Linked DNA regions of Cricetulus griseus. The main gene of each other region encodes a partner of the protein of the gene in region 3 in a complex. Links are inferred from orthologs where the notes say so. Each region holds a gene or a part of one and is shown on either strand. Other genes may lie near its edges.

What was found. The genes of interacting proteins can lie anywhere in the genome.
Region 1: Plrg1 (region 3) and Ctnnbl1 share a complex: the UniProt entries of both Homo sapiens proteins name them as parts of the PRP19-CDC5L splicing complex. The link is inferred for Cricetulus griseus from reciprocal best matches to the Homo sapiens genes PLRG1 and CTNNBL1.
Region 2: Plrg1 (region 3) and Cwc15 share a complex: the UniProt entries of both Homo sapiens proteins name them as parts of the PRP19-CDC5L splicing complex. The link is inferred for Cricetulus griseus from reciprocal best matches to the Homo sapiens genes PLRG1 and CWC15.

Annotation. Positions count from the first base shown.
Region 1 is NC_048599.1:21,838,044-21,844,065, forward strand, and holds the start of Ctnnbl1 (beta-catenin-like protein 1), read right to left. Parts: upstream 3,402-6,022; 5' UTR 3,255-3,401; coding exon 3,225-3,254; intron 1-3,224. UniProt on the Homo sapiens protein: Component of the PRP19-CDC5L complex that forms an integral part of the spliceosome and is required for activating pre-mRNA splicing.
Region 2 is NC_048597.1:127,973,685-127,979,722, reverse strand, and holds the start of Cwc15 (spliceosome-associated protein CWC15 homolog), read right to left. Parts: upstream 3,402-6,038; 5' UTR 3,262-3,401; exon of another isoform or gene 3,130-3,261; intron 1,808-3,129; 5' UTR 1,800-1,807; coding exon 1,669-1,799; intron 1,134-1,668; coding exon 1,021-1,133; intron 476-1,020; coding exon 387-475; intron 1-386. UniProt on the Homo sapiens protein: Involved in pre-mRNA splicing as component of the spliceosome. Component of the PRP19-CDC5L complex that forms an integral part of the spliceosome and is required for activating pre-mRNA splicing.
Region 3 is NW_023276806.1:71,272,771-71,277,395, forward strand, and holds part of Plrg1 (pleiotropic regulator 1), read right to left. Parts: intron 3,781-4,625; coding exon 3,631-3,780; intron 3,446-3,630; coding exon 3,344-3,445; intron 2,648-3,343; coding exon 2,545-2,647; intron 1,589-2,544; coding exon 1,480-1,588; intron 635-1,479; coding exon 495-634; intron 50-494; coding exon 1-49. UniProt on the Homo sapiens protein: Involved in pre-mRNA splicing as component of the spliceosome. Component of the PRP19-CDC5L complex that forms an integral part of the spliceosome and is required for activating pre-mRNA splicing.

The DNA.
Region 1 (6,022 bases), on a different chromosome or scaffold from region 3:
AAATCCAAGGTCATCCCTGACTACATAGTGAGTTTGAGGACAGCCTGGTCTACATAAGATCCTGACCAAAAAAAAGGGGGCAGGAAGGAAATTCCTCATAGATCTATTTAGTGAGGATGCAGGTAAATAATTATTTCATGTTAGGTTATCACTGTCTTCTAAGCATTTTCACTTCCATAAGCTCATCTGGTCCTCAAGATTTCCCACAGGAGGATGGCTGTGTTTGACTGATTACAAACTAGACTCCAGGCACCACTGTCTTTTCAAGAGAGGAATGGAGGTAGACCCTGCTCAAAGGAACAGAGCTGCAAATACAAGACCAAGATTCTGGTGACATGTCAGCCACTGCTTTGGCCTGTCAGTCACCACCTTGGCCTGTGACTTCAGCTATGTCTGCCTATCAGACCAGAGTTCTTGTTCAAAACAAGTGGGTTGAATGAAGACATCCGTATCGCCTCTCAAAATGCAAAGGCTTTCTCCTGGCCCACAGAAAGTCCTACAAAGACTGTCCTCTGTCTACATCTCCAGCTTCATCACCTTCTGGTATCCGGCTCTCATACCAAGTTCTGGCTACATGGCTCTTATCTCTGCTCACCTAATAGGCCTGGAGCCTATGCTCATAGCTGCTGTTCCTGCCTTCAACATTCTGCTCTATCATGACCGACTCCTTCTCAACCTTCAGAGCACTAACGCTGGTTTGTCGCACTCCCTCCCTGACCACTCAGTCCACAGAGGCCCTGAAAGGGGTGATTTACAGCAGTGCTGTCCAAAAAAACAGAATGAAAGTCACAAAAAAAAACTTTATATGTAAGTTGAAATTTTGAAGTAAGCACAAAATTTAAGTTTAATAACCTATTTCCCTTAATCCATTATATCAATGCAATCTACATAAAAATTAAGATACTTCATTTTCATTTTTTCATAGCTTTTTTTGTTTGTTTTTCCAGAAAGGGTTTCTCTGTGGCTTTGGAGGCTGTCCTGGAACTAGCTCTTGTAGACCAGGCTGGTCTCGAACTCACAGAGATCCGCCTGCCTCTGCCTTCGGAGTGCTGGGATCAAAGGCATGTGACACCACCGCCCGGCTCCTTTTTCATAGCTTTGAAGCCCAGTGTGTGCATTACACATATTGAAGGGGCTGGATGCAGATGGGCCACACTTGGTGTCCAACAGTTATGTGCCTAGCAGGCCTCAAACCATGCTCACATTTTCACAGCGGATTCTGCTATCCTCCCTTCACAACACTCCCAGAAATCTCAATTTCTTGTTTACTTAATGTCCTTTGGAGACTCCCCCCACCCCATATTTGCCTTTCATACAAAAGTAAAAGCCTTGTCTCATTTATGCCACATGATATGCTCAGTGGACCCAGTACCTTGTACATAGTGGATGTTGAATAAATATCTGTAACCAAAGAATGGAACTTTTCTGGCAGTACCGCTCAGATCGGAGTCAATGGACTCCACTAGCCAGCCCATAACTCCCAAATAAGTACTCATCAGTGACTTGCCCACTACTGTTCTTATTCCATCATCAAATACACTGTCTTTTTGTTTGTTTTCTCTGTGTAGTCCTGGCTGTCCTAGAACTCGTTCTGTAGACCCAGCTAGCCTCCAACTCAGAGATCCTCCTGCCTCTGCCTCCTTAGCACTGGGAGGAGCACTTAGCAAAGGTGTGTGCTACCACCACCCAGCTACGCTGTCATTTTGTTTTTTCCTTTTTGGTTTTTCAAGACAGGGTTTCTCAGTACTGCTTTGGAGCCTGTCCTGGAACTCACCCTGTAGACCAGGCTGGCTTCAAACTCACAGAAATCCGACTGCCTCTGCCTCCTGAGTGCTGGGATTAAAGGCGTGCACAACCAACCACCGGCACTACATTTTAAAGAGAAAAATATTATGGTCTCACATCTTCTGGTTGCTTAGAAATTCTTTCTATTTATGTCTGGAGTCTCTGTCTCTGGGGCCAGTCTTTTATATATTGACTAAGGGAAATAACCATCAATATTACTACTTATGGGCTGCTTTACTAAGCAACAAACATTGGTCTAACAATTTAATAGCTTCCCAACAGACCAAGAGGTCGGCATCATGAGGTATTTTGTTCAAAGTTATAACAATCAGTAAGAAAAAGGAGATTGCAAGCAACCTGGGGCTCCAAATTCAGGTCTTATGTTTGGGGAGTGGGGTCTCACTATGTAGCCCTGGCTGACCTAGAAGTCACCTCCTGCCTCTACCTCCCAGCTTTCAGGCGCTGAGACTAAAGGCATTCGGCAGCAGCAACTCAAGTTCACCTTATTATTGCCTATCCTTGACTTCGGAGCTATTGCTAGTAGCCACACTTTTAAAAAGTCAACACAAATGGGTATGGCTTCAATTATATTTTACTTCACCCATTACCCCGTAGGATGATTCAATTAATATGACCAATGATCAAGATTCGTGTAATCAATATAAAAATACTACCTTTTTCATTTGGTCTTTAAAATCCAGTGTAATTTATAATTACAGTACTTCCTAATTCAAACTAATTACAGTTCACAGGTTCCAACACTATTGAGACTAGCAAATGCGAGGCCTTAGGCAGTCAAAAGAGGGCAGAAAGTTTGAATTTCGAGCCTGAACCCTTGAGTTCCAATTAATCCTAGTTTGTAATTGTCTAGTGACCTCAGGCAAGTCCTTTCTTCCTTCTAGGCCACAGGTTCACCAGTACCCTGAGCAAGGAGGTCAAGAAGTCTCTTACCGACCCCATCCCATGCTCCATTTTCCATCTTAATTGCGGGTACATCAGCAAAGGTTTCAAATGGCCTTTCACATATATCCATGTAATATACTTAAATAAACAAACAAACTGAGGCTCAGCGACAGGGTAAAGACTCATCCAAAGCTACACCGGCAGTTGGTAGAGAAACTGAGGCTCAACCCGGAGGAAAAAGCAGTGCTCTCCACACCTGCCTCAAGCCCTACGAATTGGTAGAAACGAGACCAAAGATGAGCAGAAGGGAACCAGGCTTCCGGGTAGGAAAGGGAGATCAAAGGGAACAGGCCTGGAGAAGGAAGAAATCGAAAGGGTCCGCGAGGGCTTCGGCAAGCCAAGTGCAATGACAGGCTAGAACCCCGGGTAGCATGAGAAGTGAGGGCCAGAGACCCAGAGGAGGCGAGATGACGGGACTCTGGCCCTGCGACCCCGGCGGGGATGAGGGGCCCTCCGGCCCTGCCAACTTCACTTACCTGGTAGCTTAAAAGTTCGCCCACGTCCATGGTTCCAGACCCAATCAGCACAGGGTGCCCTGGTTACCTCCACTCACTCCGGAACCACCGGTGGCTCAGCGGCTTTTCCTGCCACACTGCCGTAAAGCGCCCGGAGAGGGGCCTCAGAACCAATAGAGTAAGAGAGCGCGAGGCCGGCGGGACCGCCACACTGCCGTGAAAGGAAGTGCGACCATAAAGCGCGCCGCGCTTTGACTCTGCAGCTTCCGCCGGGATCCTGAAGGGGCGGGAAAGGGGGCGGATACTTAGGTAAAGGATCCTAACCTAAGTGGAGGGCACAGGGCAGGGCGGGTGTGCACACCCTTACTAGGCTTCCAGATAAAGAAACAGGTTTGGAATACGCTAAAATTGCATATGCGGATTTTTTTTCCTTTTTCTTTCTTTTCCTTTTTGGTTTTTCAAAACAGGGTTTCTCTTTATTATTGGTTTGGAGGCTGTCCTGGAACTCGCTCTCGTAGACCAGACTGGCCTCGAGCTCACAGAGACCCTCCTGCCTCTGACTCCCGAGTGCTGGGGTTGAAGGCGTGCGCCACCACCGCCCGGCCTGCTTATGCGGGCTTTGTTTTGGGGTGCCTTCATGCGTCCACGGGTTAGTGTTGGCTCACGAAATGGCACCTGGCCATAGATTATTATTGGCTGAGAAACCGTTGATATCACATTTGCCTCTGAGCTTCTGTCTATTCGTCTACCCAATGGCAATGGCATGATCTCCTATCTACCCAAGTAGTATTGAAAAGGCTAATGGGGGTCTGGAGAGACGGCTCAGCGATGTAGGAGCATTTACTGCACCCCCAACAAGGACAGCTCACAATTGCCTGAAACTCTAGTTCTAGAGGATCTGATGCTTTCTTCTGGCCTCGGTGAACACCCAGCAGCATACATGTGTGCAAATACACACATACACCCACATTCTTATAAAAAGAGGTTTCTGGGAAAGAAATCTGCCCATTATTGAAAGGGTTAAAGAGTTTGTCTTCAGGGATTACATGAGAGCCCATCCAGAACCCCCCATTCAACTGTAAGGAAATTGTTATTCCGCAGACTGCCAAATCCTCTCCTCGTTACCTTTCTGCTAGCACTTCCTCTGCTGCTCACAGGTCTCAATCTGTCATTTTGTACTTGATGGTTGATGTTTTATTTATTGGCAGCCTCTACTAATTGGACTTCAGACTCTCTGAAAGTTGGGATTGAATGTGTCATCTTCATCTTCATACCATGGACTTTGTAAACTTTGGTAAGGAGGATGGATTTTAGGCTGCCTACGTTGGGAAGCTGTTGAGATGGTTTAAACAGGGATGTTTTCTGACTGGGTTTCTGTTTTTAAAGGGTGGCCTGCGAAAACTGCATTTAACAGAGTTCATTTGCATGCCTTTCCCCTCCCATTCCTATAAGTGTAGACTGTGACCTCAAGGGAGGCAGGACAGAGTAACAGTGAGAGCAAATCCTTTGGGCCATGAACAAAATTGTGTCCTAGTTTGTGCCTTGATTCAGTCAGCTTCGATAGACACCCTTGCAAAAACCCAGAATTCGTTTTCAGAGAATCTTCCAGCAAGTTTACATCAGCTTGGAAACACCCACGACGATGGAGTATTTGTGTCATGAAGATCAACCCATGCTACAAATCACAGCTGTCAGCCATTCTCCCAGAGAGCCAGTTGTTAAACACTCCTACTTCTCTGGCTAGCCAGCTTTCTGCCATAGCTAGACTGGCCAAGTTACTTCCCATGTCCCCAAGTTGCAGTTTTCTCATCTATAACAGGACAAGTAATTAATAATACAATCAACAGATAATTAGTAAGAACCTACTCAGTGCTAGATGCAACTCTTGACTCAGGATGAAGCTCACTTGTGCTTGTATTAGGGAGGGATGTGAGTGTGTGTACATGCAAGTGTGGGCGGGCAAACGCCATGGCTCACGCGTGGAGGTCAGAGGACAGCCTCCGGTGTTGGTACTCACCTGTAGGGAGACACCCTAGCCCCGCCCAGTAGTCCTGGGACAGGTACCAGGTGGACCCGGGACTCGCCCATAAGGGCGTGGTGAAGGAAAGCTGGGGTGACGTAAGGGAGCTTCTTAAGGGCTGCACGTGGAGACCCTGGCTCTTCTTTTCTGGCCGCGCTGGCTGGGTTCCTATAACCTCGCTCTGGCCTGCGTTTTGCCCTGGTGCTTTCTTGAATAAAGAAATCTTACCGTCACGGACTGGGGACTGATTCATCCTTTAGCGTACGCTACAACCTTAATCTTCACTCACCTTCCACCTTGAGACAGTCTCTTTGTTGTTTGCCCCTGTGTAGACAAGACTAAGATGCTCCATTGGCTTCAGGAGAGTCTATTGTCCCCAAGTCCCATCTCAGCACAGAGCAATAGCGTTAGAGATGCATGATGTTGTGCCTGACTTTCCACGGACTTTGGGGATTCAAACTCAGGTCTTCGTGCTTCCAAGGCAAGTGCTTTACACACGGAGCCATCTCATCTCCCCAGAGCTTTGAATAAAACAAGGTCTCTTCCTTCTGGGAACATATGTTCTTGTTGAGAGGGGTGGAATCTCTTGTACAGAAAAGAAATGTAGCTGAGGGCTGACATCCTGGGCCTGTGCATCATGCTGTACAGATGTCAAGTAACATTCCCTGGCTCACAGATTTTGCCTGCACCAGCACGAGAACCTCAGTCCAGCACTCCTGGAGACCTGAACTGTTTCCATGTGTGCACCTGTCCTATATATGTCTGGGTAGTCCTCTCCAGGGATCCTCTGCTCTACTTC
Region 2 (6,038 bases), on a different chromosome or scaffold from region 3:
CTGTTCATAGGCACTCAGCCTGAGAGTGTCCTGTGGAGTTACAGCAAGGCAGCTTAACCTTCTACATGACTGACAATTCAGTCACAGGTGGGCATGTCCTTTTTCACAGACTGCTTTCATGCAGCCCTCCAAACTAAACCTCTAGTAAAAGATTTGAGGCAGAAGAATACTTTGTTTTAAAAACAATTATTAAGTTTAAAGTTGAGGTAAATGATACATTTCAGTAACAGTAGGTAAAAATAAATACCGATCATTTCACAAAGTCAAAATAAAAAAAAATAAAGAAAATATGACAAGTTGGGCCCAATGGCAGAGGCCCATTTCTAGCACTTAGGAGGTGTTAAAAAGAGAACAACAACAAAAAAGCCAACCCCAAAACTACATACATCTGTGAGAGGATCATCGGCATCAAGGTTGGCAGCTGGAATCTGGTCTAGGCGGGGCTTCTTTGACACTGAAGAGGAAGTTGTATGTTCTGAAGAAAACAAACATTTAGCTTAATGAAACAAATACTGCATTTTAAAATAACATTTTAGAAACTTTTGGGCAAAAAGAATCCACACAAAAAAAACATAGTGACAGCAGGGATTCCCCCAATGGCTGGCAAATAAGCCTTTGATAAATATATGGTAGTAAATATTAAATGAATTAATGAGTTATGAGGATGGCAGCATCTCAGGAAACTTAGCCAATGTTCATACATACTAGAAACACAAGAAGGGTTACTGACGCATCTCAACTACATGGAGGAATGAATAAAATGGGGCAGCTCTGGATAGAAGGCCTGGGTTCCAGCTGCTGTAAAGCCAAAGTCTAACGACAGGTACTGAAATGATGGCTTTGAAACACCATTTCTTCTAATACCAAAGCATGAGAAGATGGAACTGGAATGAACGTCATTATTATCTCTAATCATTTATCAAAGAGGTATAGTACACAAAAACATCATCTCCAATGACCAACACACAAACAATCTCCACCAAATAACTTTGAGACAGACACTAAGAACAGTGTAGGTACCTCGGGTTGGACGGTCCCTATTTTTTTCCCTTGCAGCAGCTCTCTCTCTCTCTTCCAACTCTCTCCTAAAGTCACGGTTACGAACCTCTTCAGGGGCATCCTGTGTAGTTTGTCTTAAGAAGAAAGAAACTGGGTTAAAAATGTTACTCTCACTTGTCAAGGAAAAGAACCTATAAGGCTACAGTAATTTAAGACAATTTAGGATACAACTATCTCTGACCAATAAAATGAAAGAGGACACGATAATAAGGGACACCTGCGATGTTTTCAGTATTACTATTAGAACAAACTAAAGCACACACTCTCCTCCAACATGAAATGTCTGAATGAAATGTCTTTGTTTTTTTAAACTATTAATCAACTCAAGGGCTGTCACAGTAACGCTTCCATATTCACTACAGTTCAGTCTTCTCTGAGGTACTTATCATGAATGAGTGCTTCATCTACACACAGGAATTTCTGGTTGATAGGAATGTCTACTGAAAGAACGTCCAGTAACACTTAAAAACCACAGAGTATAATTTATTGTAAACCCCTTTGAATTCCATTTCTTTGAAGATAGGTAACAAATACAACAATCTAGACACAGTCATAAGTCATGCAGGTTTGGTCCCATTCTGTGAACAAGACAAACCAAGGCCTTATTACCTGTATTTTATCTTTGTATGAGAGGGGAGGTCTCTGCTTGAATACTGCTTTGAAAGCTGGCTCAAATCCCCTTCTCCTTTTCCTCGTCCACCTCTTGCAGGTTCAAAAGTTGGCCTGGCTGCTGTTGTCATCTTTTATTCTTTGACAAAAGTGAGATTAAGTTATATTCGGTAGAACTCTCATCTTAGAAATCATTCATAAATATCTATCCTTATGACTAATTCCCAAAACTCTCCCACAAATTGCTTAAGTAGTTTGTTTTAACACAAATTTCTACAAGTTCAGAATTATGAAACTCAAGTTGCACATGAGATATGTCCTGCCAGGCAGCTCTTAATTAAAAAAAAACAAACAAATAAGCAACAACAACAACAAAAAACCCAAAACTTATTTGAAGATCTGAGTTTGTGCTTTTGTTCTAGCTAAGTAGACTTGGGCAAGTCTCTTAGCTTGTTTTTGTCATCTCTGGAATGCTGATATTTCTGTAGTGTTATTATGACAATTCTGACAAATGATGGCAGATCTCATACAATAGTGTAATGTGGCTTTTAAAAAAAATAACTGTTTTAAAAATTCTTATCTTACTAGCACTAGGTTCTCTTGAATTTGTTTGTTTGTTTTGTTTTGATAGGGTCTTAATATGTAGCTCTGGCTGACCTGGAACCCTCCAGGGATCTACCCAACTCTGCCTCTGGAAAGTTGGAATTAAAGGTGTGGACCACCACGCCTAGCCAAGATCTGCATTTCTATGAGAAACCTCACACAACAGTAAATAAACCGAAAGGAAAAAAAAAATACGCAAACAAAACACCAAGTTTCTTCTAAAGTCACGGATCACTCTCAAACTTTAGTGTCTCAGAGTGAGTTTGTTTAAAACCCAATGACATTCACGCGGGCCACACTACCCAAAACCCAGTTGATGCAATTCTCTTCTCCAACAGTTACCCTAACACGTAGAAAACCTTTGGTACGATGCAACTTTAGCAGTGCTCAGAAAACCGAAACCCCACCCCGAGAAATATCAAGAGCCCATCCCGAACTGGGGTGTACTTCTGGGACCACCCCAGGCGCTCGGAAGGTGAAAGCGGGAGAAGCACGAGTTCGAAGCTAGCCTGGGGCTACACGAGACTGTCGCTACAGCAACAAGAGAACCTTGTGCCACTTTCAACTTGGAGCTGTCACATCAGAATTCCGGCGGACCGACTGGGCTGCTAGGCCTCCGTTAGCGTGAGCAGCGCGCTCAGACAGACCCGGAGGGAAGGAGCTTCGTCCCCATCCCGCCCTGCTGCTCCTCGGTGTCAGCGGCCGGCGCCGCGCCGGTGCCCGCCCGGGGCTCGGCCGAAGCTCCCGACCGCCATGCCGGGCCTGGGGCCCCGGCCGTCCTCCCGGCAGCGATCCCGGCCCCCCGGCGCCACCCTCGCAGGGACCACAAAGCCCCATGCACCCCTGCCGCTCGCTCACTCCGGCGGGGTCCCACGCAGCGCCTTGGGAGGCTCACCCACGAACCATCGCAGCTCCCAGCTCCCAGAAAGCTCCGCGCCGGGGCAGCCAGCCCAAGACCGGAAACAAACCGCTTGGCGTCTAGCTCCTCACCTGGGGGGCTCAGTTAAGACCCGGAAGCAAAAATCTTGGCACTTCCAACGGCCGCGTCGGAAGCTTAAGCTCCACACCCGGAAGCAAACCTGAGGGTTTTTTGTAACCGTTTCTCAGAGGCTGGTGCGCCGACCAATCCGCAGAGACCCTGGAGGAAGTTGGCGTGACGTCGTCGAGGGGCGGAGCCAGGGCGGCCCAGGGGGCGGGTGTTTGAAACCGGTGCTTGGGAGTCGAACCTAAATATCTGTGTTTTTTTGAGAGCCAATTACTTAATCTGTCTTGCGTCTTTTCCTTCCCCGACCCCCTCCCAGACTCCTCCGCTGCGGTGCTGCGAGGACCGAAGGCGCCGGGGAGTCGGCCCCGCGTCGGGCAAGCGTGAGATCTGAGGAGAGCGCGCCCGCTGGCCCAACGGCTCCCGCTCCTCAGTAGACCCCGCAGCCTAGGGACTAGAGTTGTCACTTAAGTGGATGTGAAGAAGGCGCACATAAGTACGGGGGCAGCCACGAGCTTTCCAAAGGTACCATTCCTGCGAAACCACTATCCTCGGAGGCAGGGGTCGTAGTCGCATTGCTTGTTAAGATATAGATACATAGAGATAATATGCATTAAGCCGCGTAGTGTGAGGGGAGAGGCCGTAAGCGTTAACGACAGCCAGCGTTTAGAGAACAGTGGGCTTAACTGCCAGGAGGAGCATGAGCTGCAATTAAGATGGCTTCCTCATCGTTGTCTTGGTGGTGCCCTATCCTTGAGATCTTGGGAGACGATAGATGCTCAGTACGTTCTCCAGTTTGTCCCAAGTGGAAGGACCGCCTAAAATCGAACATTTCGGTGCCTTCCTTTGGAACTTTTTAAATGAAGAAGGAAAATTAGAACAGATTCTTCCCCCCCTCTTCCTCCTTCCCCGTCCCCCCTCTCCCCCCCAAGTGGAAGGTAAAACATTTCTTTTTCTCATGGAAGCTATATACCTCCCTCAACCTCACACAACCTAAGAACACCATCAGATTAGCGGCTCAAGCCCAAGGTCCACCTCTGTCACTCTTCACATCCCGTTCACTTGCCAATCTTGTCCAGTATTGTGAGAATTACCCTGAAGTTCATTTCCCTGTCACCACATTCATTCAGGCTGCTGTCATTTTCCTCTTGTATTTGTAAATTGCTTCCAAATGGACTTTCCTGAGGTTTTGCACAGAATGACGGAGTTAGGGTACTTAGGATAAAACAGCCACTTGTCTTAACTTGATTCTGAGGATTCTTTATAGTCTGTCTCATGCCCACCTTCCTGGCTTCAGTCAGTCATGGGTACACCATGCTCTAGATGCACTCAACAGGACGTCTCTGTTTCTCAGAGCAAGGCAGGGTTCCCTGTTTATTTTGAGTTTTGAGACAAGGTCTTGCTATGTAGCCCAGGCTGGCTTTGAACTGCAAGTTCTATGTATCCTGACTGACCATCCTCAGCCTCCAGAATGCAAGCATACTATCTTCTAGTTTTTAAAGTTTCCCACTGTATTCTTTGCCTATGTCCCCAACACTGCTGTGAGGACATTATTTTCAGGTCTTAGTCACTGCTGCTTCCTCAGTGGGATTTCCCCTGGCATGGATACTGTGTTTCTCCTATGCATAGATTTATAGCCCCCAGTTCTATACTTTCATAATACTGAACACCAGCTAGGTTTACTGTTTGTTTTCATTACCTTTTGCACCTTTTTCTTCTTGGTTGAGCCAAAGTATTGAGAACAAGTATCTGTGACTCTTTTGGCTTTAACTCCAGTTCTGCTCTCCCTCGATGTGTACAGTTGCATAAACCATTTTCCCTTTGATGCCCTCCATTCCTTGTGCAAAATTGGGGGTAATTCTTTCTGGTACTTTAGTGGTTACATAAGTATTTGTAAAGTGCTTAGAACTATCTCAGCAAGCAGACTCGATAAATCAGTATTGGCTGGTACTCATATTATTATTGTCTGTCTAAGGGCAGTAGAACCTGAATTCCAGAAAAACAGGAACCCTGATTATTCACTGGTGTCCTCTGCATATAGAACAGTACTTGGTACATAACAGGTGCTGAGTAAGTACTGGTTGAATGAGTGAATGACATGTTATAAAGGAGGAATGAAATTTCTATGGCAAAATGGTAACAGGAAACTACCCAGTTTTTTTTCATTCCAGCTGCCTTTATCAACCCCTCAATAATCCATTTAAATTTTTATTTTATTAATTAACACTTGATGATTCCATTATAATTTAGCAAAAGAAAATTAGTTCACAAAATTAAAATCATTTGATTAAAATAGTCTGGAAGTATTAATAAGAAAGGGAAAACCAAAAAAGTTTTTTTAACTTTGAGGACTTGCAAATACTAAGAAAATGATACCATAAAGTTTTTGACTTAAACAATGAAAACACTTAGAAAAAAGAAATGAAGTTGGAAAGTCTGTATTAGCTAGTGTTCTCCATAGGAACAGAACTGATAGAATGAATATATATTAAAAGGGGGTTTACCAGATTGGCTTACATGATGCAATATGGGTGTCCACACTGAGTAGTCACACAGTCCACAAGGCTGCATGTCTCAACAGTCTTAAACAATTCCATTCTGGTTCTGAATGCCTGAAGGATTCCTTGAGAGCCACTGGTCTTCATTCTACAGTGGAAGAATGAAGCTGGATTCTGATGTCAACAGAATGGTGACATCACGCAAGGGAGATGAATTTTGGGCAGTAACCTGAGAACAGGGCAGATGAACTGGACAGCAACCTGAGAACAGGAGAGATGAACTGGAC
Region 3 (4,625 bases):
AAGTTGTAGCCAGTTCTCCAGTCCCAAAGGTGCATAGTGCCATTGTCAGCTGTGAAAGAAAGTTGTGGTTAGATTTCTATCCCTTCAACAGCTCAGATGATCCATGATCTAAGCATCACATCAGCAATACAAAGACACACCACACACACACACACACACACACACACACACACACACACACACACACACACACACACACCACACTCAAATTCCTCATTTGTGTTTAATTCACAACTATAGACCATAAAAGGCTCTATAACATTTGAAATTCAACCAAACATGGGACAATTCCTAGCATAAATTCCTATCTTTATCACATGGGAATTCAAAGAGTACTAAACTACACAACATGCTGCATGGATTATCAACACACTGTGATAGGTACATACACCCTAGTCAAGTGAGTGCCACTACAACATAGGTGTAATGCTGAAAGTAACTCACCCACTTTGACAAAAGGGCAAACTCAACACACCGTAAAAACCTTGCTTTACCTCCAGATACAAGTACTCCGTCAGCATTGACCGCCAGCGTGTTAATAATTGCATTATGACCAGAGAGATTTTGAATAAAGCCTCCATCAGGGAATTTCCACTGCTTTATGTTATCTGGAGACCCAGATGCAAATGTGTAACTAGAACAAAGATAGACAAGAATTAACGGAAAAGTACATTGCATCAAACAAACAACAAAAATCTCCCAGGTTCAAAAAATCACTGTCTGCTTACTGGCCCAGACAGACAGCTTCAGTAAACTGCTAAGTCCATCAAGTTGCAAAATCAGTATCTCCATCCCAAGTTCCACCAGTCTTTCAAATTGCAGAAGTGCATTTTAAATCCTAGAGTAATGTTTTCATTTCTTCCGGTTTTCTACACTAAATTAGCACAACCAACGTACACATGCAATGGGCAAAAACCTCTATGATAATTTTGGGGAAAAAGGAGAGAAGAGAGGGAAGGTGAAAGAGAAATAAAAATAAAAGGAAGGAGAAGAGGGGACAAGAAAGGAGGGAAAGGGCCCAGCAGAGGGTGAGTTAAAGGTGGCCGGATCTGAGGAACAGCTTGTGACTGTATGCTTGACTTCTCTGGCAATCATGACTGCAATGTTAATGGCTCTTCTTCGATCTTCCCCTCCTGTACATTAACTTCTTCCTAAAGGATTAAACTATTCTGTGTCTGTCTCAGACATTACAAGATACCATATATGGCACCATCTATGACATGTAAAAAGTAAAACATACTCAGCCATTATTACCTCCTACTTTAACATGCAGTTTTAAGCATGACTTAGTCTTATTTGTCACTATGTAGAGACTTCCTCCTTCATTCTATACAGGGCGTGAAGTAAAATAGCAGCAGACAGAAAATTAAAGAAAGTTTGTCCAAAAGCAGCACAGGCTGCAGGACTGCAAAAGCAGTGCTGATGTTGGAGTTCACTAAGGCATGGAGAAAGAAAAGCTAATTAGCAAAACATACTTACTGTCGTGGATGTAAGACCACAGCCCTGACTGACTTCTTATGATTGGTTAATGTTACTCTTGTCTTTCCAGCTACCAGATCCCACAATCGTATTGTTGTGTCGTGACTTCCTGTAACGAAAACACACACACACACATGAATACAAGTACAGAGAGAGAGAGAGAGAGAGAGAGAGAGAGAGAGAGACACACACACACACACACACACACACACACACACACACACACGGGGGGGGGGGGCGCGCGCGGACACGACAGAGAGACAATGACAGAATCCACAAGTTAGAATACAGTAAACACAAAGCACTCCTCTGTACATAAACATACACTAAGTAGAAGTCCTACCACTGTGAATACTTTCCTTACAGTTTTACTTTATATCTAGTTCTTTTTAAAATGCCTGATTGAGGCACTAGAGAGAAGGCTCAGTGTTGAATAGCACTTCTTAGCCTGGTTTGGTTCCCAGCACCCACACAGTGATGCACATCCATCTGTAACTCCGGTTCCAGAGAATCTGCCACTCTCTTCTGATCTATGTAGGCACCAGGTACACACATAATGTACATACACAGATGCAGGCAAAGCACTTCTACAAATAAATCTAAAAATAAGAAAAATAAATACCTGATTAACCTATCAAAATATATAAATAGCAAATGAACCAAACATGTAATTTTATCCCCCAGTGGCTGGGAAAGGAAAAGCTGAATTATTTCATCTTATATTTCTAATTAACAAAACCAAGTGAAAGAATGTTTTGTCACAGTAAAGTCCCAGTCATTCAAGTAAGACTCAAGTAAGACCAGATCTGAAGATGTTGGTGGCAGGGTATTTTCTAACTTTAACTCCCTAGAATGAGAGTCATGACACTCTAGAGCAACACTTGACTATCTAATGGCAGTTTTATAGACATCTTTCATAACACCTAACACATAAGTTTCAAATGCCATGATTAAAATACAAAGTGACACTAGAACACAACACAAAGCAGGAGTTGGAGGAGCTACAGCGCTGAATGGCAGTGCATCTGGTATGAAGAGACAGTAGGGTGGAGAAGCTTAGCATACCGGTAATTATCTGTGGTTCTGCAGCTTGGCACCTTACAGTGGCGACTGCATTCGTGTGTCCAGACAAAGTGTGGACACTGGCTTTTGTTCTCACATCCCAGATCTGTAAAAATATAACCAACATGCTATGAAAAATAATAGATATTTATACCTGAGAGCTCTAAGTTTTCCACACCAGTGTATCTGAACATAACGAAGAGAATGCATAAATGGGAGACAATGATCCACGTGCTATGGGGAAAGACAGAAGTCTAAAGATCAGGATACTGACCTATCAGCTTAGTCCCACAATGGGACAAGAGAATTAAGCTGGTAATGAACAAACATTGTGATGGCCTAGAGCAGTGGTTCTCACCTTCCTAATGTTGAAACCCTTTAAAACAATTTCTCATGTTGTGGTAAACCCCAACCATAAAATTATTTGTTGTTACTTCATAACCATAATTTTGCTACTGTTATGAATCATAATTTTTGTAAATTATGATTTTGTAAATTATGTAAATATTTGATAAGCAGAATGGTCTTATAACCCCTCTGAAAAGGTTGTTCAACCCTCAAAGGGGTCAAGACCCTCAGGTTGGGAACCACAGGCCAAGAATACAAAGCTGTCACAATTCAGTGGCAGGACATTGACAACAGCAAACAGAACAAACAGAGAAGGCACCAATCCTAAAAGAGACCAGACTGTTGATAAATCAAGAATCTATTGTTCTTTATGAGAAAATAACATGCTAATATCAAGTTTGCATATGAGAAGATACAGACACCAACAACTAGCACACAGCTACATCTCATTTACCCGGGCAGTTGAATCTCGACTACAAGTCACCAGGACATCAATTGTTGGATGCAAATCCAGACCATACACTGCACTTAGATGGCCATGATAGTGCCGTATAACCTGAAGATAAAAGCAGAAGTTCCGAGTTATAAAATTAGAATGATCAACACTGGGGCCTGGGGATACAGCTCCAAGGCAGAGAGTTGGTCTGGCTTGCAAAAGGCCCTGGATTCAATCCCAGTAGTGCAGTATAAACACAATGAACTGTGGCTCATGCAGTTTGAACACCTTTGCTCTAAGCTTACCTTGTTATACTCAAGATCCCAGCACTTCACTTGTTTGTCTTCTCCACAAGAGAACAAGTAAGGACTCCTTGTGCTTACGATCACACCCCGCACTGTGCTGATGTGGCCAGTCAATGACAGCTTTAATTTTCCACTAGCCAAGTCCCAAATCTGAAATCAAATAGTTGTTTTTCTTTACGTTGGTTACCGCCCCCACACACACACACACAAAATCAGAACACTCAGACTCTTTAAAATGATGCCTCTCCATATAAGAGGGAAAATAAGGCACATTCAGACTGGTAAGTATTTGCAAAAAGTGACAAGGACGAGGTTACTACTCTCAATACATAAAAAGATCTACTGATTGTGAAAATACCAACAACACAGCATTATCCATACTGAGGGAATAGCAACTTAATCCAGAAAAGTACCAAAGATAAAAATATTCACCCTCACTACATGTCTGTGTGTCTGTCCATTTCCAGTGCTCACATTAAGTGCACTCCTCTGACGAGCTATGTGGTCAGCATGATGGACCAACTATCAGCTCACTAACTTTGGAAAGAAATTTGCACTTTCCATACCAGTTCTAAGACATTTGTCCTAACATTTGTAGACTATCTAAACAAAAATACAATATACAAAAAGCAGTCTATGTAAAACAAATGCAAGCTTATTCCAATGAAAATTATCAAACTAAAAATTTTAATGTTGAGCAGTAAGGAACAGTTTATAGAATTATATGCACATTCTACCCATTTAAAAATCCTGAATTTTTCATAAGAATAGACCTTCAAGATGATGCTATGTGAGAAAAACAAGACTCAATAATAATAATAATAATAATAATAATAATAATAATAATAATAATAGAAAGACATACGAAAATAAATCCGTTTGAGGGTCTGTCCACCAGTGATAGTACTACCTGCCAGTCTAGGCTCTCTTATTCCACTTTTCACTACATCTACCTCTACAGAGAACTCTGAGTTCATTTTGTAACCAGGATGAAA